Linked DNA regions of Stegostoma tigrinum. The protein of the gene in region 3 interacts with the protein of the main gene of each other region in a biochemical or structural test. Links are inferred from orthologs where the notes say so. Each region holds a gene or a part of one and is shown on either strand. Other genes may lie near its edges.

What was found.
Region 1: the proteins of dynamin-1 (region 3) and endophilin-A1 form a complex in vitro, tested with the Homo sapiens proteins (2 studies listed by BioGRID and IntAct, with this or other methods). The link is inferred for Stegostoma tigrinum from reciprocal best matches to the Homo sapiens genes DNM1 and SH3GL2.
Region 2: the proteins of dynamin-1 (region 3) and endophilin-A2-like form a complex in vitro, tested with the Homo sapiens proteins (2 studies listed by BioGRID and IntAct, with this or other methods). The link is inferred for Stegostoma tigrinum from reciprocal best matches to the Homo sapiens genes DNM1 and SH3GL1.

What each region holds. Positions count from the first base shown.
Region 1 is NC_081356.1:23,525,826-23,533,066, forward strand, and holds the start of endophilin-A1, read right to left. Parts: upstream 3,009-7,241; 5' UTR 2,711-3,008; coding exon 2,666-2,710; intron 1-2,665. UniProt on the Homo sapiens protein: Implicated in synaptic vesicle endocytosis. May recruit other proteins to membranes with high curvature. Required for BDNF-dependent dendrite outgrowth.
Region 2 is NC_081383.1:32,288,978-32,296,994, reverse strand, and holds the start of endophilin-A2-like, read right to left. Parts: upstream 3,009-8,017; 5' UTR 2,852-3,008; coding exon 2,807-2,851; intron 1-2,806. UniProt on the Homo sapiens protein: Implicated in endocytosis. May recruit other proteins to membranes with high curvature.
Region 3 is NC_081382.1:36,991,829-36,999,734, reverse strand, and holds the start of dynamin-1, read right to left. Parts: upstream 3,074-7,906; 5' UTR 2,265-3,073; coding exon 2,104-2,264; intron 1-2,103. UniProt on the Homo sapiens protein: Catalyzes the hydrolysis of GTP and utilizes this energy to mediate vesicle scission and participates in many forms of endocytosis, such as clathrin-mediated endocytosis or synaptic vesicle endocytosis as well as rapid endocytosis (RE).

The sequences.
Region 1 (7,241 bases), on a different chromosome or scaffold from region 3:
TAACTTAGAATCCCTACAGTGTGGAAGCAGCCATTCAGTCCACAGTGACCCTTCAAAGACCCACACCCTACCCTATGCCCGTAAACCTACACATCCCTGGGCACTATGGGCAATTTAGCATGGCCAAGCCACCTAACCTGTCCATCTTTGGATGGTGGGAGGAAACCACAGCACCCAGAGGAAACCCGCAGAGACTCGGGGAGAAAGCACAAGGGTAGTAATCAAAATGGAATATGAATAGAAGTGAGTGCTCAGTGGGGACTCTGGGGATTCAGTATTGTTTCTCGTTGACATTAATGACACTGGTTTTGGAAACATGGAAATAGCAGTCAATGTCACATATGAGCACATGCTAGGAGGAGAGGTGGAATTGTAAAAGACAAGTCAGAAATCAGAGAAAATTTGGACCAGATGGGAGATGAGATTTAATACAGGCAATTGAAAATTGTGCAAACAAGGACTGATCACCCTGAATGGTGCTGGGGCAACAGATAGTGTGAAACGGATTGGGAGCCTACAGGCCAATGGTCTAAATGTGGGCTTTACCAGTTTCAAAATCTCCCCACTCCCAGCCTCATCCCATGACCAACCCTCCCTCTCATCCCAGCCCCCTTGACCTGACACAAAATCAAAGTTGCTGGAAAAGCTCAGCAGGTCTGGGAGCATCTGTGAAGGAAAAAAAAAGTTAATGTTTGGGATCCGGTGACCCTTCTTCAGACCTAATACAAACTCCTTGACTTGACAACTTGTCCATCTTCACTCCCACCTACTTGCCCCGCCCACCTCACTGACCAAGCCCCACCACTGCCTACCTGCACTCACCTATCACCCATTCCACCTACCTTCCCCAGCCCCACCCCTCCTCTCTATATTTATTTCGGAGCTCCCTTCCCCCTATCCGTTTCTGAAGAAAAGTCCCAACCCAAAATGTCAACTTTCCTGCTCCTCGGATGCTGCCTGACATGCTGTGTTTCTCCAGCTCCACATTGTTATCTCTGGAGTTTAAAAAAACGCCCTCATCTCAACGACACGTTCAACAGAAACAGGGCACTCTACAAAACTAGCTGTATATGACAGTAAGTCGTCCCAGAGTCTCAATGCAGCTGCAGAGTGCTCTAGTTATGCTGCATATCGAACACAGCATTCCAATTCTGGTCACCCATTTACATCCAGTGCACAGAAAAGCCGTACGTTCAGTGCCTGGAATCAGGCCCGGAGTGAAGTCAAAATGCTGGACCAGAACTTGAATTCCAGCCTGGAACGGAAATGCTTTAGAAGTGGTGCCAAGATTGTCAGGATAATTGCAAATATTAACGTTAAATTGCAAGCTGAAGTCCGACAGAGTAAATGGAAATTTTGATGGCTGCGAAGAGGGAGGGAAGGAGCGGGGGCGGGGGGGGGGGGGGGGTGGTGAGAATAGCAGGACAATGGGAAGAAATAATTCAAATCGAGAAGCAGCAGCGATGCATCTTTCAGGATGTGTAATTCAGTTGTGCCCAGGACCGGTCCCATCCTTAATATACTCGTGACCTACTGAAATGCTTGCAGCATCTTTCCTCAATCTCCCCCGATTCGCTCCCCACTCCCCCCCCCCCACCTTTCTTCAAACTACCCGCCAGCAGGCATCTGCCATGTGCTTCGGTGCCAGTGTCCCCCAAGTCTCAAACCCAGAGAGTCAGAGTCAGTGACAGTAAACAGGCGCCTCAACTTCCAAGCTGAGGATTAGCTGTAAGTATGCAGGAGAGCCGGGAACAGGGGAAAAATCTTTAAAATGGTCAGCCCAGCTGACAGAGGAATGAACATTTCTCCCAAAGTAGCTGAGGCGAAGATCGTGACGTTTGATGAAAGAGGCTGTTATTTCAAAATAAAGACACACAGAGAGAGAGAGAATATTGCAGGCGCGGTGAAACTCAAAACAGAATTGTTGATGGCTGGGATGCTCAATACACAATTGACAGCGGCAGGATCAAATTAATTATTTCCGCGGTGTTTTACGTGTTGAGATCATATAAAAATCAACATTATAATGAGGTGCGAGCCGATCTAACCAGCAGCAGCAAATTGGTCTTGTTCAGAGGACATTTCTCCTCCTTGATTCCAAGATCAGGAGACTGCTCGTGGGGGGTGGGGGACAGCAGCAAGGACTGGATTTCCGCAATAGCGACCTGGAGCCGACTGAGGGCATTGGAAAGCCACTCTTCCAACAGACCCAGAAAGAAGCTGCGACGCGGCTCACTCCGGGGACTAAATAATAAATGATTTCCGCAGCGATCCCGCAAACATCCCGGGGAAAACGGAGGCTCAAAACCCTTCTCTCCCACCACCACCCCTTCTCCCCTAAAATGAAACGCCTCTGTCGAGACCTCATTGGCAAATCAACCCACAGCGAGCCCCACACTCACTGAAACATCAAAGTTCCCAGATTTCGCCACAGGAATCCTGCCTGACCCGACCTACACAATGACATTGCTTCATTAATCGGCGTTGTGTAGCCCCGGAGGGTTTGGGACATGAAGCGAGACGGGGATTCTATCATTACTTCTTGTAAAACGGGAAGGTGGTTAAGAATACAGAGGCACGACAGGGACGAAGCTTGGACTGAAGCTCAAACCGCTTTGGTGCAGTGGGGCAGAGAGTGTCGGAGCTGCAGCAGCTATCTCCCTACCTGAGTAGCCTTGTGGAATTGTTTCTTCAGTCCCGCCACAGACATGGTTCCTGCAGAAAAAGGAAGCGGTCCTGTTCGGCCGCTTATTTGCAAACAGGGTTATTCTCGCCTCCTTCGCGGCTCCTTCTCATCTCACTCCAGGATTAAATTACTATCGGCAAAACCAGGATATCCGGACCCAACCTGACGTCAGCTTCTCTTAAAGACACAGCCACGTTTCGCCAGCGATGAGGATGAATTAAATCCGCACTGACAGCTAAAAATAGAGACAATCTATTTCTATACAGTCGTTTCTTCCAGCGGTGCACAATGCTTGGTGTCTGTATTATGCAGAGATAGATTTCGTTGCAGTCAGACAGACATGTATGCGGGCATATAGGTCGAAACATTGAAGAGCTGTCCCACAGACTAGCCGAGCAACTAACTATTATAGCGAAACTCACGGAACCGTACCATCCAGTGCTCTAGGCGCCAGCAGGAGTGATGGCACCATGGTATGGGGTCAAGAAAGTGTGGGCCTGCGAGTTGTCGAAATACATTTCGATCTCCATGAGATACAGACAAGAAGACTTCCTGTTGATTACAGTCAGCACCCATGCAATCCCCTCTCCCCACAACGTTGAATGTCAGATGAAAGACATGCTGAAGGTAGTAGGGCCACAAACGTACTTTGGGTGCAAGAATTCTAACAACAACATTAGCCAAACTGACTCAGTCCTTAAGTAGATATAAACCAGATTGGATTTAGACTAGGTGGTTAGGGAGCCAACAAGAGGAAAACAAATACCTGTCCACACCTTCACCTGTCCATCCCACTTTATAGAAAATCAGCAGAACCCTGAGTAACACAAGACAAACATTTTTGTTATACATCAAAGATGTACTTGTTATTTATGTCATGGGAAGTTCTGTCTATGATGCTATTGGTCAGAGTGACCACCACACAGTCATTGTAGTGACAATGTCCCATCTTCACATTGAGGATATATCTCCACTCAGTTGTGTATCTCCACCACCATGCTGAATGGAATAGATGCAGAGCAGATCTACAGCACACAACATGGCACTGTGAACCATTGTCAACAGCAAAATTGCATCCAACCATAATTGTATCTTCATGGCCTGGCATATCACACTTCACCATTACCATCAAATTGGGGGACCAAATTTAGTCAATGAAAAGATTTTGCCTGATGCAGCACCAATCATATCTGAAAGGGAGATGTCAACTCATCCAAGCTGCAATACAGAACTACATGAATGTGAAACAGAGGAGGCAACATTCAAGAAATAGTGTCAAGCACCCTATTTATAAGGAACCAGTTCAAAGCCCTGTAGTTCTGTCACATACAGGTATGAACATACCTGATTATTTCCAAAGAAGAATCAATGGTTCAAAATGTTAATTTTGTTTTCTTCTTCACAGATGTTGCCAGCCTTGTTCATTTTTCCCAACAACTCGTTTTCTTTAATTTCCATTTACAACATAAGCAGCATTTCCGTTTTATTATAGTCATGAATGGCATTGACCAATCAAATGACAAAAAAAACTCTACAATATCCCCATCATCAGTATGAGACAGTCAAGCATGTAGAACATAGAACATTACAGCACAGTACAGGCCCTTCGGCCCTCGATGTTGTGCCGACCTGTCATACTGATCTCAAGCCCATCTAACCTACACTATTCCATGTACGTCCATATGCTCATCCTTTGATGACTTAAATGTACCTAAAGTTGGCAAATCTACTACCGTTGCAGGTAGAGCGTTCCATTCCCTTACTACTCTCTGAGTAAAGAAACTACCTCTGACATCTGTCCTATATCTTTCACCCCTCAATTTAAAGCTATGTGAGTGTGAAAAAGCAATGTTGAATTGTTCACAACCATCTTCAGCCACAAGAGTAAGTGGAAGATCCATCTTGAACTTTTCCTGATGTTCCTATTTTGTGCTTTCATTAAAAAAAGGGCATTGAATACAGGAAAGGTAAAATTGCAGTGACAAAATTTCAGCAGTAGTACCAAAGACTTATGTGGTAGAAATAGAGACAATAGGAACTGCCGATGCTAGAGAATCCGAGATAACAAGGTGTGGAGCTGGAGGAACACAACAGGTCAAGCAGCATCTGAGGAGCAGGAAAGCTGACGTTTCGGGTTCTGATGAAGGGTCTAGGCCCGAAACGTCAGCTTGCCTGCTTCTAAGATGCTGCTTGGCCTGCTGTGTTCATCCAGCTCCACACCTTGTTATCTGTGGTAGAAATAGCTTTGTCCTTAGTCATGCCATTCCAGTGCTGAACATCTAGAACACTGGCATCTATTTGGCATTATGGAAAGTTGCCCAGAATGTTTTGTCCACAGAAAAGCAGTAAATCTAACACAACCAAATCCTGAACTGTTGGTTTACTCTGAACCATTAGCAAAATTGAGAAAGGTGTTAATGAGGTTGGATTGTGTGCCTTCAGCACACATGTGAAAACTGATGCAGTGTTTTCTGATGATGTTGCTGACGGGCAGCATGGGGATAAAAAAAGTAGACAGCAAGGATAGATGCTTGGAAAACACCAGAAGGAATTGTGCAGGAGTGGGAAGAAAAGCCATGACTGTCGTTTCCAATAACCTGTTAATGGAAACTCAGTTTGGCTCCCACCAGTTCACTTGGTTCCAGATCTCATTACAGCCTTGGACCAGACATGAACAAAAGAGCTGAGTTCCAGAGATGAAGTGAGGCTGATTACTTTTATATTAAGGGAACATTTGGTTTCAGTGCTGCATTAAGTAGCCATAGCAAAATTGAAGTCAGTCTAAGGTGGGGGAATCTCTGCACTGTGTTCAGTATAGCTGCTGCCAAAGTGTACAACTTGAAGGGAATTTGCAGGTGATAATTACATGTGTCGCTTGTCCTTGTCATTACAGGTTGTAGAAGTTGACGGCATGGGAAGTGCCATTTGGTGAGTTGTTGAAATGCAATTTGTATTTGGAACATGCTATGTCAATCATGGATGGAGTATATATTTAGGGGAGTTGAAGCAACCCAAACAGGTTGCTTTCTCCAAGATGTCATAGAGTCATACAGCATGGAAACAGACCTTTCAGTCTAATCAGTTCATGCCGACCATGGTTCTGAACTAAAATAGGCCCATCTGCCTCTTGAATGTTTTTGGAATTTTATCCATCCAGGCATGTGGTGAGTATTCCATAACAATCAAATTAAGGCCCTGTGAAAATATTCGAAAGGCTTTGGAGGTGGGAGGGTAAGTTGCTTGACCCAGAATTCCTGACCTCTGACTTGTGCTATGTTGTGCTTCTGGTCAATGGTAATACACTACCACTAATAATGAGGATTCAATAATAGTGATGTCATTGAATAAAGAGGGAAAGTGGTCAGGCAGTGTGTTAGAGATAGATATATTTGGAAGGTTTTACGGCCTAGTACTTGAGTGGCATCAAAGTTATTTGCCACTTGCCAGGCTAAGATGTTTTCCTAGTCTTATTGCATATGGACAAAGACTACTTCAGTATCTGAGAGCTTGTCACCAAACATCACACAGTTCTAAGCTTATGATTATGACAAGGTCGATGATGGAGCAGCTGAAGATTGTGGAGCTGAGGACGCTGCCCAGAGGAATTCCTGCTGAGATATCCCGGGGTTGAGAAGTTTAGTTTGCAACAACCACAGCGATCTTCCTTTGTACAAGGCAAAATATGAATGGTGAGTTTGCCCACGATTCCTATTTACTTCAATTTTGTGAGCATTCCTCAATGCCACACATTCTCAAGTGTTCCTCTGATATTGAGGACAGTAGTCCCAAAGCCCTGGAATTCAAATTTATTTTCTATCTTGGATCAAAACTATAATGAGGTATGGCCCCAAAATGTCCTGATTAAACCAAATGGAGCATCAGTTAGCAAGTTATTGGTGGGAAAATGGTGTTGGATATTACTGTCCTCACTTTCCACTCCACCAGTCTCTGCATTCAAAGGATCTTCTCCACCATTTCTACCAGCCAGAGACCAGCACCAAACTTATCTCCCCCTTCTCTTTACTATCAGCATCCCCCAATGCCATCCCCTATGTGACACCCTGGTCCACTCCTCTATGCTCACCCTTCCAAAACAACAGCTGCCCCCTCCAGCCTGCACTTAAGACCCTGCTGTGGCATCTTCTCATGCAAACACAGAAGGTGTACCATTTACCCATTTCCATCCTCTTTCCTTATTGTCCAAGGTGCCAAACCCATGTTCCAGGTGAAACAGCATTTTACTTGTACTTCTTTCAATTTCGTCTACTGTATTCACTGCTGGCATGCTGTCTCCTTTATATTTGCCAGGGCAAACACAGACTGGCTGAGACAGGACCAGTCTTGCAAAATAAATCAGCTCTGTCTCTAGAATGGCCCCGACCTTCTAGTTTTTTTGGCAATTCAATAAACCACCTTGAGTCCCTGTTCATTTTTTCCATCCTGGGACTGCCCCAGTGTAAGCTTTTTCTGCTCGGGCAAATTTCCATATCTTCAGAATATGACCTCTATCCTCCATTTTTCTTACATGCCCCAAAAACCATCATTCCTGGACGTG
Region 2 (8,017 bases), on a different chromosome or scaffold from region 3:
CTCCTATTCGTCAGTCGTGTTATACCTACTTTGCACTGCTGGAACATGCATTATAACTGAACCACATGCACAGTGGAGAAGGTGCTGAAAGTCTTAAATGCATAAACTTGGATAAATCCCCCACACCTGATCAGATGTACCCTAGAACTCTGTAGGGAGTGAGGGAAGAAATTGCTGAGCCCCTTGCTGAGATATTTGCATCATCGATAGCCACAGGTGAGGAGCTGGAAGACTGGAGGTCGATTAAAATGATGCCACTATTTAAGAGAGGTGGTAAGGAAAAGCCACGGAACTATACACCAGTGGGACTGAAGTCGGTGGTAGGCAAGTTGTTGGAAGCAATCCTGAGGGATAGAATTATGTATTTGGAAAGGCAGGGACTGATTAGGGATAGTCAATGTGGCTGTGTGTGTGGGAAATCGTGTGTCACTAACTTGATTGAGTTTTTTGAAGAAGTAATGAAGAGGATTGATGAGGGCAGAGTGATGGACGTGATCCATATGGACTTCAGTTAAGTGTTCGACAAGGTTCCCCATGGTGGGCTGGTTAGCAAGGTTAGATCACATGGAATACAGAGAGAATGAGCCATTTAGATAAGAACAGGCTCAAAGGTAGAATACACAGGATGATGGTGGAGGTTGGTTTTCAGACTGGAGGCCTGTGACCAGAATGTGCCACAAGTCTTGGTGTAGGGCACTGCCTTTGTCATTTATATAAATGATTTGGATGTGATCATAGGAGTAAGTTTGCAGGTGACACTAAAATTGGAGATGTAGCAGACAGCAAAGATGATCACCTCAGAATACAAATGGGCCAATGGGTTGAGTACTAGCAGATAGAGTTTAATTCAGACAAAATGTGAGATGTTGCATTTTGGAAAGGCAAATCAGGGCAGGATTTATACACTAAATTGACAGGTCCTGGGGAGTGTTACTGAACAAAGAGACCTTGGAGTGCAGGTTTATAGTTCCTTGAAAGTTGAGCCACTGATAAGAAGCGTGTGGTATGCTTGCCTTTACTGATTAGTGCATTGAGTCATGTTGCAGCTGTACATTGGGACATTGGTTTGACCACTTTTGGAGTATTCTGTGCAATTCTAGTCTCCCCCTCTACGAAGAACTTTGTGAAACTAGAAAGGGTTCAGAAAAGATTTACAAAGATGCAGTCAGGGTTAGGGAATTTGAGCTATAGAGAGAGTTTGAACAAGCTGGGGCCATTTTCCTGAGCATCGGAGGCTGAGGGGTGACCTAATAGATGGTTATAAAATCATGAGGGGCATGGGTGCGGTAAATAGACATGGGTTTTTCCTTGGGGTGAGGGAGTCCAAAACAAGAGGGTATAGGTTTAAGGTGAGAAGGGAAGGATATAAAAAGAACCCAAGCGGCAACATTTTCATGCAGAGATTGTGCGTGCATGGAACGAGTTGCTAGACAAACTGCTGGACGCTGGTACAATTACATTTCATATATCCATCCAGATATCTTTTAAAAGGAAAGCTGTAGAAGGATATGGGACAAATGCTGGCAAATGGGACTAGATTTGCATAGGACATCTGGTTGGATGGACAAGTTGGACCAAAGAGTCTGTTTCCATGCTGTGTATCTCTATGACTCTATGTTCTATTTGATGATGAGTTCAGTGAAACTGACCACAAGACAATCTTGATGCTATCCTAACCAAGCATCCACTTTGTTATTTTTCGACAAACATTACCAGCAACAATTCTGATTTCACATGTGACAGAAATAATGAAATCAATTATATATTCTAAAACAAAACAAAGAAATGCTGACGCTGAAGATCTGAAACAAAAACAGAAATTGCTGAAGAAACTCAGCAGCTCTGAAGGATCACGGGACTCGGAATGTTAACTCTGCTTTCTCTCTGCTGATGCTGTCAGAACGGCTGATTTTTTTTCCAGCAATTTCTGTTTTTGTTACTTCAAATGCTGCTCAGACTAAAGTTGGGAGCTAAACTTCAACTGGACATCAATAAGATGTGCGTTTTATTTTCCCTACCTGTCAATTTTCTGAGGGTTAGAGTTAACTGTTAAAATATGCCAGTGAGCTTCGGCACGTTGTGAAATTGCATGTATTTTAACTGTAGACGTCCGGACAACTAACAAACAACTTGAATATTTGTGGGAATTAACGCTACCGTCTCCCTAAAACCCTAAATATTAACGCTGTCAAAAACTTCATGAATCTGCGTCTAGAGGAACATTACTTAACCTAAGTCCAAGATTAAAGAGTTTGGGGGAAAAAAAAGAGATTCAGCAATAAACGAGGCTTGAAGTTAGTCTCGCATTTTTAAACCAACAAACGGATTCAAGTTGTCGACGCTAAAAAATAGACCTTCGGATCTGACAGCCCAATACGTATGGAGAAGAGATTGCACAACTAGTCTCTCTTTCATTTATACGAATCCACTTATTTGTTTTAAAAATCGAAAATGAAGCGTTCCTGTTTGCCATTCCTTTTGTACGAGGGAAAAAAAAAGTTGGATTCAAACGGAAATTGCTGGCCAATTGAAATCAAGCTCGAACTCCAATTTCACAGCGACAAAAAAAACTGATTTTTTTTTCTTTTAACAATTACATAAATGTAAACAAGGAAAGTTGGATTATTTTTATAGCCGCCACACAGACCTTGAAAACATGTGAACCATGCTGCAGCAGTAAGTTAGAGCGAGTGTGCCTATTGGCAGCGAGGGTTGTATGACACTGGCATCAGCCGGGGTGAGAGCTCATTCCTTCACATTGAGAGACCCCCCCCCCAGACTCCAGATCCCGGCCCAGCCTCCTTACCTGGCTCGCTTTGTAAAACTGCTTCTTCAACCCGGCCACCGACATCCTCGCACACTTTTAACCGACCACAACTTTTAAAAAAGCTCGATTACGTGGCCGTTTTCAATTGTTATTCTCTATGTTCAACCCCCGCCTCTCTCTTTCTCCCCCTCACAGACTCTTGTCAGAAATCCTACATGGCAACCGCAGCTACTTCCGGCAGCGCGACAAGGAGCGCCACCCGCCGGCGAAAAGTTAAACAGCGGACTTTGTCCTCCACACACAGCGCCGCCATCAGCTGCACTGCAGCCATTCAGCCGTCACACGGTCTTCCAAATACAGCGCTCCCCACAGCAGCGCGCCAGACTCAGCCGTTAGACGGTCCTCCGAACACACCGCCTCCCTCAGCCGCACTCCAGCTATTCAGCCTGTGCCCGTTCTTTCAACCCTGACCTCCTCAGCAGGAGTTATTCAGACTGTAGGCGTAGCGCCACCTATCGTTCTGGAGGATTGAAGTCACATGTTGTGTGGTTTGTATGGATATACTTCTACACGAAGAAAATTGTCTTAATGGGGTTTGTGGTTTTTCTTGGAAAACGAAGCCTAAATCTCTAGAACGGTATTGTGTGAACGTTAGTTTTATTTTTGAAGAACTCCACGGAGAAAGGCCTTGATCAGGGAGAAATAGTTCCTACAAGCTGGAATCGAGGTGAAGAATTGAGGTGAGTCAAGACCTTTAAGGTGAAGGGGGATCAACTCCAAGTATGTTTAAATGTGGATGTTGCACATGTAAAAAGTGAAAAGTTTAAACACTTTTAAATTTTAAGGGGAATTACTCTTCAGCCAATGTAAGAGACCACATCTTTAATTTTCGAAATTGGGAATTTGCTTCACTTCTCTTGAGCCAGTGAAAAAAGTTTTGTTTTCTCTCTGTCTTGGAAAATTGAAACGTGAGTCAACAAGTGCCACATGAAAAACACTCAGGAAAAGGGTTGCCTGGGGCAGAAAACATTTTTTGAACCTCCATTCCATCACAGTACAAACTGCTGTTCTGGCTCTCCTTCTGCCAACTGAATGGTGCACTCCTCACCCTCAACAACTTCTCTTTCAATTCCTCCCCATTGCTACAGACAAAGGGGGTGGCCATGGGTACCTGCATGGGCCCAAGCTGTGCCTGCCTCTTTGTAGGTTCTGTGGAACAATCTCTCTTCCGTAGCTACACTGGCCCCACCTCTTCCTCCATTACATTGATGACTGTATCGGCGCCACCTCATACTCCCAGGAGGAGCTCAAACAGTTCATCCACTTCACCAACACTTTCCACACCAACCTTAAGTTCACCTGGACCATCTCTGACCTGTCTGTCCTTCCTGGACCTCTATGTTTCCATCTGTGGAAACCAATATCCATTTCAAGCCCACCACAGCTACCTAGAATACACCTCCTCCCTCCCACCTTCCTGTAAAACTGCTATCCCCTATTCCCAATTCCTTCACTTCCACCACATTGCTCCTAGGAATAGGCATTCCACTGCCATACATCTCAGATGTCCTCGTTTCTCAAGGACCACAACATCCCCCCCAACCCCCCCCCAGTGATCGAGAACTCCCTCGACCATGTCTCCCGCAACTCATCCCTTGCATCCCTCCCCGCAATAACAACCAAAACAAAATCCTCCTCACCCTCACGTACCACCGCACCAACCTCCAGATCCAACGCATCATCCTCCAACACTTCCACCATCTGCAATCCAACCCCACCACTAAAGGCATTTTTCCCTGCCCACCCTTATCTGCTTTCCGGAGGGACCACTCTCTCCATGACTCCCTTGTCAGCACCACACTCCCCTCCAGCCCCACTACCCCCAGCACTTTTCCCTGCAACCGCAGGAAGTGCTGCCCCTACATCTCCCCCCTCACCCCCATCCCAGGCCCCAAGAAGACTTTCCACATCAAACAGATGTTCACCTGTACATCTGCTAATGTGCTGTACTGTATCCACTGCTCCCGTTGTGGCTCCTCTACATCGGGGAAACCAAGCGGAGGCTTCGGGACCGCTTTGCAGAACACCTCCGCTCGGTTCACAGTAAACAACTGCACCTCCCAGTCGCGAACCATTTCAACTCCTGTTCTCATTCCTCAGACAGCATGTCCATCCTGAGCTTCCTGCAATGCCACAACGATGTTACTCGAAGGTTGCAGGAAGAGCACCTCATATTCCATTTAGGAACCCTGCAGCCCAATGGTATCAATGTCGACTTCAGAAGCTTCAAAATCTCCCCTCCCCCTACCACATCCTAAAACCAGCCCAGCTCGTCCCTACCTCCCTAACCTGTCCTTCCTCCCACCTGTCCCCTACTCTGACCTACTAGCCACATCCCACCCCCTTGACCTGTCCGTCCTCCCTGGACTGACCTAACTCCCCACCTCCACTCACCTTTACTGGCTCCATCCCTGCCTCTTTGACCTGTCTGTCTCCTCTCCACCTATCTTCTCCTCTAACCATCTTCCATCTGCCTCCCCCCCTCTCCCTATTTATTTCAGAACTCCCTTCCCCTCCCCCATTTCTGAAGAAGGGTCTAAGGCCTGAAACATCAGCTTTCCTGGTCCTGTGATGCTGCTTGGCCTGCTGTGTTCATCCAACTCTACACCTTGGTATCCCAGGATAACTCCCTGGCTGTTTTTTCACTCTTTTCTTTTTTAACACTATTTTCCTGCTGCTCAGCGACTGTTTTTTGAGACCCCTTCCCTCCTCATTGAAATGAATCCTGATGTCAGACATCTTTATGTTGAGAACAACAAGATTCCAAAGAAAGTAGGAACTGCTGATGCTGGAGAATCTGAGGTAACAAGGTGTAGAGCTGGATCAACACAGCAGGCAAGGCAGCATCAGAGGCGCAGAAAAGCTCCCTGATTTGGAAAGATTCCACATCTCTGCTACTTTCTGTGTCTAAATTTTGGAGCTGAGGGGGACAATGTCAATAGTCCACTAAATTTTAAGGTGCCATTTATTATATGTGAGTCCTGACTTCTCTTTATAAATGCAATTTCCAACTGTTGCACTTAAATTAGAGCAATGAGGTTAATTTTGAATAATTACTCTGTACATTGAACTAACCCAACTTAGGTAAGAGTTAAATATGTGTCCTTACAAATTAGTATGGCTCATTTCCCATTTGTTCAATTTTCCCAAGCACATGGGAAGTTATGAAATTATTTAAAATTATGAAATATCAGTCAGTCATTAGAATAGGCACTTTTCAGTGTTTGTTACATCTGGAGCAAGCGAGTAAGCTTAAATACAAAATGTTCAGGTCAAAGAACCAGTCTAAGGATACATGGTAGACCATTTAGAGCAGAGTTGAGGAAAAATGTCTTTACTCATAGAATGGTGAGCCTGGGGAGTTCTCTGCCCCAAAAAAAACAGGCCAAAATCTTGAATGTTTTCAGGACGCTGTTAGATACAGGGATTAAAGGGAATGGGAATAAAATGGGAACAGGGTACTGAGTTGAATCATCAGCCATGATCATATTGAATGGCAGAGCAGATTCGAAGGGCTGAATAGCCTACTCTTGCTGCTGTTTTCGATGCATCTAAAGAGGAATTTTTTTTGCATATCATCATGAGCTCGTGGATTGTACTACCAGACCTAGTGACAAAAACAAGTAACAAAATCAATGTTTAAGAATAGATTAATGGGTAAATGAAGAAAAGGGGAATAAGGAAATCTGAGAAAAAGGTGGGCTCTTGAAACATTTACTCATGCTGAAGATAATGCCATTACAGATTGGATATGCCAAAAAGCATACTTTCATCTTGGAATTTTCCATGTAGTCTACTAAAGATTGGTTAATATTGAAATTGGGATAATAAACACTGAGAAGATTGAATCAATTGTCTGAGCTCACGTTCCAAACTGTTGACACTGTCAGCTTCCCAGGCAATTATCTCTAACTAAAACAGACTGTTAGCAACTTCAGTGTCATATCTTACCCCAAGATGAGCTTCCAACCTCTCATCTGTACCACGATTTAGACAGCACACTTCCACCTCCATTAAATCACTTGACTTAATCACTGCCTCAGTGCATCTGCTGCTGAGACATTCATCAATGCCATTATGATCTCTGGATTTGACTATTCAAGAGACATCCTGGTTGACCTCCACCAATGTAGCCCGGGTAAATTCAAAGTCAGCCAAAACTCTCATACCCAGGTCTCAAGGTCCAAAATTTCATTTCCCTTTGTTTGTTGACCCATACTGGCTCCTGATCGAGCAATTTAAAATTCTTATCCTTGTTTGCAAATCCCTCAGTGGCTTTGCCCTCCATATGCATACAATCTCCTGCAGCCCCAGAACCTGCCAAAATCCCTACAATCATTCAGTTGTGGGCTGCAGATCATCCCAATTTAAGTTGTTCCACTCTTGGCGACTGCATCTTCAGCTGCCAAGGGCCTTAACTCTGGAATTTCTTCCCAAAAGCTTCTCTCTGGCTAAGCTTTTGACAATCTGTTTTATTATAACTGTATTATGGCTCAGTGTCAAATTTTGCTTTATTATGGTTCCATAACGTGCTTTTGAATATTTTCTTACATGAAAAGTACTGTTAATTTTTCTGTTGGTGAGTGTGCACAGATATATTCTATCTCCATGGTGCTATTTTTAGTCGTTGCAATTCAAAATGTACAATCTGCTCAGGGAAAATCAGCTTGTACAGTTTGTTCATTATCTGCTACATTCCCAAATTCTCCTGATGAACAATTAGTGAAGATTGATTCTTCTCAATTTTAGGGATATTTCCCTTTTTAAATTCAAAGATTATGTCTGCGGTATTTACATTCATTGCCATGTCAGGATACATGTTGTCAAGCCTTGATAAGAACATATTATTAAGATGAATGCATTACAGATAAGAACCACTATGTCATTTGCATCATGTATCATGTTACTACAATTAGAATTTAAAAAGATTGATTCTTCATGTTGTCTTGCAGGTGCTCTATTTTGATTAAAGGCAAGAATATTTTTCAGCACACAATTGATTTGCATTGTGTAAAACAATTTCAGTGCTAAAATAACAATAATATTTAGTGATCTTCAGTAATATTTACTTATGTTGCATTGTGTTTATACCTGCCATTGAAGTCCGTGAAAGTGGTGTCTGGTAACTAAATAATTTGGATATCATTTAACTGAATTGCACCCTGTTTATTTCCAGACAATGTTGTGATG
Region 3 (7,906 bases):
ACCCACACACACAGTCTAATACCCACACACACAGTCTAACACCCACACATAGTCTAACAGCCACACACAGTCTAACAGCCACATACAGTCTAACACCCACATACAGTCTAACACCCACACGGTCTAACACCCACACACACAGTCTAACACCCACATACAGTCTAACACCCACACGGTCTAACAGCCACACACACAGTCTAACACCCACATACAGTCGAACACCCACACGGTCTAACACCCACACACACAGTCTAACACCCACACACACAGTCTAACATCCACACGCAGTCTAACACACACACGCAGTCTAACACACACACATAGTCTAACACCAACACACCCAGTCTAACACCAACACACCCAGTCTAACACCAACACACATAGTCTAACACCCACACACACAGTCTAACACACACACAGTCTAACATGCACACACACAGTCTAACACTCACACAGTCTAACACTCACACAGAGTGTAACACCCACAGTCATACAGACACACAAAGCGTGTCACCTACAGTCACTCGCACACTGTCTAACACCCACACACGGTCTAACACCCACACACGGTCTAACAGCCATACACAGTCTGACACGCACACACAGTCTAATGCCCACACACAGTCTACCACTTACGCAGACTGTAACACCAACACACAGTGTAACACCCACAGTCATACAGACACACAAAGTGTCTCACCTACAGTCACTCACAGTCTAACACCCACACTCAAGGTGTAACACTCAAACATATGCACACACTCGTAACTCCCATAAAGTCTAAGGCCCACAGTCATAGACGGTTTAATACCTCCTGACACTCAGACACGCACACACACAAAGTGTAACACCCACAGTCACTCATTACACACAGTATAACACACCCACAGTCACTCATTACACACAGTGTAACACCCACAGTCACTCATTACACACAATATAACACACCCACAGTCACTCATTACACACAATGTAACACACCCACACTCATCAAACATGCAGCAAGTGATGGACACACAATGACTGTCACCGCAACAGTGATACAAGCACACAGTGTCAAAATACGTCACTAACACAGGCAGTCACAGTCACAGTCACAGAGGCATACAGTGACAGAATAACAGTCACACAAATGACACAGGTACAGTGACAGAATAAGTCAGACAATAACAGACAATGACACAGTCGGTGACAAAATAACAGTCACACAGTAACGCAGTGACATAATAGCATGCAGTGACAGTCACGTGCAATGACAAAACAACAGTGACAGGCACAGTGACAAAATAACAGTCACACACACTAACACAGGCAGTGACAGGTGAACACTGAGAAATACCTCAGTGACAGGCACAGTCGGTCACAGGTACATACAATGTAACAGCCGTGGACACAGTAACACTGTGTCCCTGTGTAGCACTCTGTAACACGGCGCTATGGCGGACTCACCGCCGCATGCGGTGAAATTTGTTGTTTTGTGCGAACGCTGCCGGGGCTCCACCTGGAATTCGCTGAAATGCTGGGAGACAGTGCCGCTGGGGCTAAGGTCAATGAATGAGGTGGACGCAGCGAAACCCGGTTTGGGGAAAAGCAGCCTCATGAAACCTACCGATTTCATACATAGGTCTCCTTTAAATACTGTTAACTGCGCAGGTTGGGCTGTGTGTGTGTGCGGGGGAGAAATGGAATAGAAACAAGATTTGGACCTTCCGATATTTTAAAACAGACATTGCAAAGGGGCAGAGACAGGCGTAAGGTTAAATCTGCTGAATTGATGTCAGTGATCTCGTCCTGCCTTTCCACATAATTCTCAGCCGATTTAGACCCGCTGTTTATCTAGTGACATGCAGCAAAGATTAGGGCAGGAATCCGGCTCTGAATGCAGCGGGTCTGGTGTTTTGTTTAATAAATAACAGATAACATTAAAACCTCCTTGCCTCTCTGGATTTGCTGTCTTGGCGTTTCGTTTTGGGTGGGCGGGGGGACGGTAAATCAACAACAAATCCAACGCCACTGGCACAGTTATAAATTATGGTCATTCAAGTAAAAATACATCTTATAACGGGAAAAGAAGACAGAAATAAATTGCGTGCATCGACTCACTTTCCGACGAAATTTTCCAGCACAGAGCTCTTGCCGGCGCTCTGTCCCCCCACTACCCCGATCTGGGGCAAGTCCAGATTGGCATTCTGTCCGATCTGAGCGAAAGCATCCTGCATCCGATTGACCAGGGGGATCAGTTCTTCCATCCCGCGGTTGCCCATGTTTGCTGAATGGCGATGAGCTGGGACCAGCCGCTACTATTACTGGATCTGAATGTGGGATAAAGAGCTGGGAGCCTAGTCTATAATATGCAAAAAGCTCCACATGGAGCAGCAAACCTCAGGCTGCAGGAGGGGAATTGCATTCGCAGGTTAAATGCTGTTTCTGCGCTCTTCCCCTTGCACCCAAAGCCGCACACTCTCAATTGGCTCCGCTCTATCGCACCGCTCTGCCTGCGCTATACAGCCAGCGATTTAAAGGGAACAAGAGGCACCACCACTGCGCAGGCGCTGCCACGGCCGGCCTGTCGGGATCTGTAGTCCACGACCCGCGGCGCCACCTTGTGGACGGACGGTCCCGGACTCCACCTCCCAGGGTGCACCGCGCGCCCTCTCATTCTCGTCCTCTTGTCACCCACCAGCGCAAGGCTGGGCTCCTCTTGTTACCAATTGCAAAGGGTGGCAGCGAACCCCTGTCCGGGATTTTTTTGTTGCAATCCTCGCCTGGCGTCTTCCCCAAATCATTCAGATAAAAATAGGTTGGAATTAATTGCACAAGAAGAGTGGGGGCCCTTCTCCTGGCCATTGCTGCAGAGGCGCAAGGATTGCAATGCAGACTTGGAACATGCAGTCATTCCTCGCAGATTGCATTCTGCGTCTCACCGAAAACCACCAGAGCGTTGCATGTACCAATTTTTGGAAAATAGTTACATGTAGGGTAATAGGATCTTGGAGTGCGCTTGCGGTACCCCCGCTTCTAACCTAAAAGGCCTGGCTTCGAGTCGCACTTGCTCCTCAGTTGTATCATATTTGGGGTCTCTTGTGGCGCAGTGCTGGTGTCGCTTCTCGGGCCAGGCCACCTGGGTTGAAGTCCCACCTGCTCCTGCTGCAGAGGCACGTATTAATATTTCTTGAGCAGGATGGTTAGAAAATGTTAATTGCTATTAAAGGGGAATGGGAATCATTGAGGTATCTTTTTCACTTAGAAACAAAATACTGCGCATAAAGCGAAGAACTGCAGATGCTGAAAACCTGAAGCAAAAGCAGAAAGTGCTGGAGAAACTCTGCAGGTCTGGCAGCGTCTGTGGAGAGAAAACAGAGTCAGCATTTCAAGTCCAGCATGAATCTCCTTCAGAACAAAATCTTTTAGACATGAAACAGTAACTCTGTTCTTTTCTCCGCAGTCACTGTCGGACCTGCTGAGCTTCTGCAATGCTTTCCATTCCAATGCCTTCCATGATTCTTTTCAAACAAAATTGATTATGGGATTTGAAGCTGCTGTCATTTGTTGCGCAATGCTAATCGCTAAGGTTCTGGTAAGCTGCCTTCCCGAGCCATTCCAGTCCATGTAGATACATCCATAATACTGTTAGGGAAGGAGTACTGGCCATTTCCATAGGCTAGAACTCTCCCCCTACAGACAGAGTTTGCTAAAGATTTACTCACCTCACACGACTGCAGTGGTTCAAGAAGGCAGCTCACCTCCACCTTCTAAAGGGCAGTTAGGACTTAGTAATAAATGCTGGCCTAGTCCATGATTTTGAGAGTGACACAGAAGGAAAGGCAACATATTTCCAAGTCAGGATGGTGAAGTTTTGGAAGGGACTTTGCAGAGGTTGCTGTTCCCGTATATCTGCTGTCCTTTGTAGGTGGTAGAGGTCATAGATTTGGAAGATGGTATCAAAAGATCCTTGGTGAGTTTCTGCATTGTGATGGTACGCCGCGTTGCCAGCGTGTGTCAGTGGTGAAGGGAATGAATTTTGAAAGAGTTGGATGAGGAGCCCATCATGCAGGTTACTTCATCCTGGATGGGTTTCTTGTGTGTTCTTGGAGTTGCACTCATCTGGGCAAGTGGGGAGTATGTCATTACCCTCCTCATTTAGAGATTACACAGTGTAGAGCTGGAGGAACACAGCAGGCTAGGCAGCATCAGAGGAGCAGGAAAGCTGACGTTTCGGTTCGGGAGCCTTCTTCACAAATCATTTTTGATGAATGGTCCCAACCCAAAACTTCAACTTTCCTGCTTCTCTGATGCTGCCTGGCCTGCATTGTTCCTCCAGCTGCACGCTGTGTTACCTCTGACTCCAGCATTGGCAGTTCCTACTAACCCTCCTGATTTGGTTGTGTCTTATAGATGCTAAAGCCTGTGGAGTCAGGAAGTGAGTTACTTGCTGCAGGATTGTCAGCCTCTGACCTTCTGCTGTAGACGCAGTATTGCCTGGCTGGTCCAGTTCATCCATTTTAATGCCATTCAATGTCTAAAGAGATGGTTGCGGAGAATCTAACCTTTTTTTTGCTTGAAGATATTGATTGTCTGGTGCAAGTGTTACTTGGCACTTGTCAACACAAGCTGGAATGGTGTGAGGATATGCTAGGAAGAATAGAAGCATAGATTACTTTCTAAATGGGGAAAGGCTTCAGAAATCTCAAACACATTGAGACTTAGGAGTCCTTGCTCAGAATTCTCTTAAGGCTAACATGCAGCTTCTGTTGGCAGTTAGGAAGACAATTGCAATGTTAGCATTCATTTCAAGAGGCTAGAATACACTGCTGAAACTGTATAATGCTTTGGTCAGACCACATTTGGAATATTGTAAGCAGTTTTGCCTCTATACCTATGAAAGAATGTATTGTCCTTGGAGGGGGTCCAGAAGAGGTTCACAAGAATGATCCCAGGTATGAAGGCCTTGTCATATGAGGATCAGTTGAGGACTCTGGGTCTATACCATCTGGGCAAAAGATGAAGGGGGTATCTTGTTGAAATTTACAGAATGCAGACAGGTGTAGATAGAGTGGATATGGAGAAGATATTTCCACTGGTAGGAGTGACTCAGACTGAAATGAGGAGGAATTTCTTCAGCCAGAAGGTCATGAATCTGTGGAGAAATTCATTGTTGCAGAAGGCTGTGGAGGCCAAGCTATTGAGTGTATTTAAGACAGAGGTAGATAAGTTCTTGATTAATAAGAGGATCAAGGGTTTTGGGAGAGAAGGCAGGAGAATGGGCTGAGAAACTGATTGAATGGTGGAGCAGCCTCAATGGGCTGAATGGTGTAATTTTGCTGTTATTTTGGATGATCTTATGAAATTTATGTTCCAGCTTTTATTCTAGATAATTAAAGGCATATTTTCCCTGGAAGAACATTATTAAATTGGAGAGGGTTCAGAAAAGATTTACCAGGAATGCCAAGACTGGAAGTTTTGAGTTATAAGCCTAGGTTGGATATGTTGGGACTTTGTTCATTTGTGCATAAGAGGTTGCGAGGTGACCTGTTAGAGGTTTATAAAATCGTGAGAGGCAAAGATAAGGTGAATACAAACATCTTCTTCCTAGAGTGGGGGAGTTCCAAACTAGGGGGTATGTTTTAAGATGAGAGGAGAAAGATATAAAAGGGACCCCAGGGGCAATTTTTCACACAGATGGTGGTTTGGGGCGGCACGCTGACTCAGTGGTTAGCACGGCTGCCTCACAGCACCGCGGACCCAGATTTGATTCCACCCTCGGGTGACTGTGTGGAGTTTGCAAAGTCTCCCTGTGTCTGCGTGGGTTTCCTTCGGGGCCTCAGGTTTCCTCCCACAGGCCAAAGTTGTGCAGATTAGATGGACTGACCATGCTAAAATTGACCAGAGTGTCCAGGGATGTACAGTCGAGGTGGGTTAGCCGTAGGAAATGCAGGTTCACAGGAATAGGGTAGGGGTAGTAGAGGGTCAGTGTGGACTGAATGGGCTGCGTCCATGCTGTAGGGATTCTATGAATGAACTGCCAGAGTAAGGGGTAGATGCAGGCACAATTATAACATTTAAAGGACAGGTACATGAATAGGAAAGGTTTAGAGGGACATGGGCCAAACGCAGGTGACTGGGACTGGTTTAGTTTGAGAAACTTGGACAGCATGGACAAGTTGGGCTGAAGAGTCCATTGCTGTGCTGTATGACTCTATGATCAGGACCAGAGACCTCTTTACAGCAAAAGGTATGGCAAATGTTGCGATGTGGCACTTGTACTGTCTTTAATTAAACTGAATGAAAGGGTCTGGATCAGAAAACTGATTAGTGGGCTGTGTGTTTGGATGTCAGTGTGTGTCAAATCACTTGTACTGTGCTATCCATGTTACCAACATGTATCATTGTTGCAGGGCTCTTGTAGTTCAGCGGCATTGTCCCTGGGCCAGGTTAAGTCCTAACTGCTCCACAGGTGTCTAATAACATCTCAGAATAGGTTGATCAGAAAATGTTAATATTATTCCCTCATTGTCATTAGGCTAAAACCCTGGAACTTTCTACATTACAGAATACTCACCACAGACACTGCAAAAGGTTAGGAAGGCATATCAATTATCGATCGGTACCACTGAAACTGATAGCCATGTCATCAATTGTAGATTTATTCAGTATTTATGAATTGTACTTAATTTTCATAATCATGGTACAATAGAGGGACAGTCTCACTGTACATAATAAGGAGTAGCAAGGGGTTAAAAACTGAGGTGGGAGCAGATTTGGAGGTTCATCGTAGGTTCTACTCAATCAATAAAAACCAAAAGAACTGCAGGTGCTGCAAACCAGGAACAAAAACAGAAGTTGCTGGAAAAGCTCTTCAGGTCTGGTAGCATCTGTGAAGGAAAAAACAGAGTCAATGTTTCGGGTCCAGTGACCCTTCCTCAGAACATCAATACTCAATCAGTATTGACCACTCACATCACACTCGGGTAAACAGTCAGAGAATCAGCCACACGAAGAGAAGTCATTCAGTCCTTTGTGCCTGCACCAGATCATTGGAAAAAGTTCTCCAAATAGTTACAATTTCCTCTTTAAGCCCACAGGCCTGTACTTTCATCTTCCCTTCCAATACTGACTAAATTCCTTTTTGAAAGTTGTGGTTGAACCTGCTCTTTCAAGCCATGCCTTCCAGATTGTACCAACACACTGCATCAAGTAAACATTCACCCCATTCCGAAGAAGGGTCCCGACCCGAAACGTCAAGCTTTCCTGCTCGTCTGATGCTGCTTGGCCTGCTGTGTTCATCCAGCTCCACACCGTGTTATCTCGGATTCTCCAGCATCGGCAGTCCCTACTATCTCTGTAACATTCGCCCCTAGTTCCTTTGCCAGTCACCGTCAATCTGGACCCTGCAATTGCCAACCTTTCATCCACTGGACACAGATGCCCCTTGTTTACACTGTCTCAAAGTCAGTTCCTGTTGAGAACAGGGAAGGTGGGAGAAAGGATTGTGAGGCAACTTGGTTACAGTGCTGGATTTCCTTGGGCAACTTGATAGGAAAGCTGCCAAATCGGAAACATTACTCAAAGCAATGCATTTTGACCCTGCAACCCTGAGTGTTGCAGCTGGAAGAAAGTGCTGTCTTCAATTTCTGGTGAGTACTGAGACGGCACTCAGCTGAAGTGGAGCAGCCCAGAGAAGTCCGACCAGCGTCCAGTACCACTCCCTTACTTGTGGAATTAGCTTCCACCACCTGCTCAAGCCAAGCGTTTCAGACCCTGGCAATTATTCTGATCTAAAAGAAAATCCTCTCCAGTTCTTTGTCGATGGTGACCTCCTTTGACCAACTCCATCAACGTCTCCCATCACCTCAAAGGATGTTTGTTTGGTTAATGCTCTCTGCTCTGTGCTAACTTTCCTAAATCT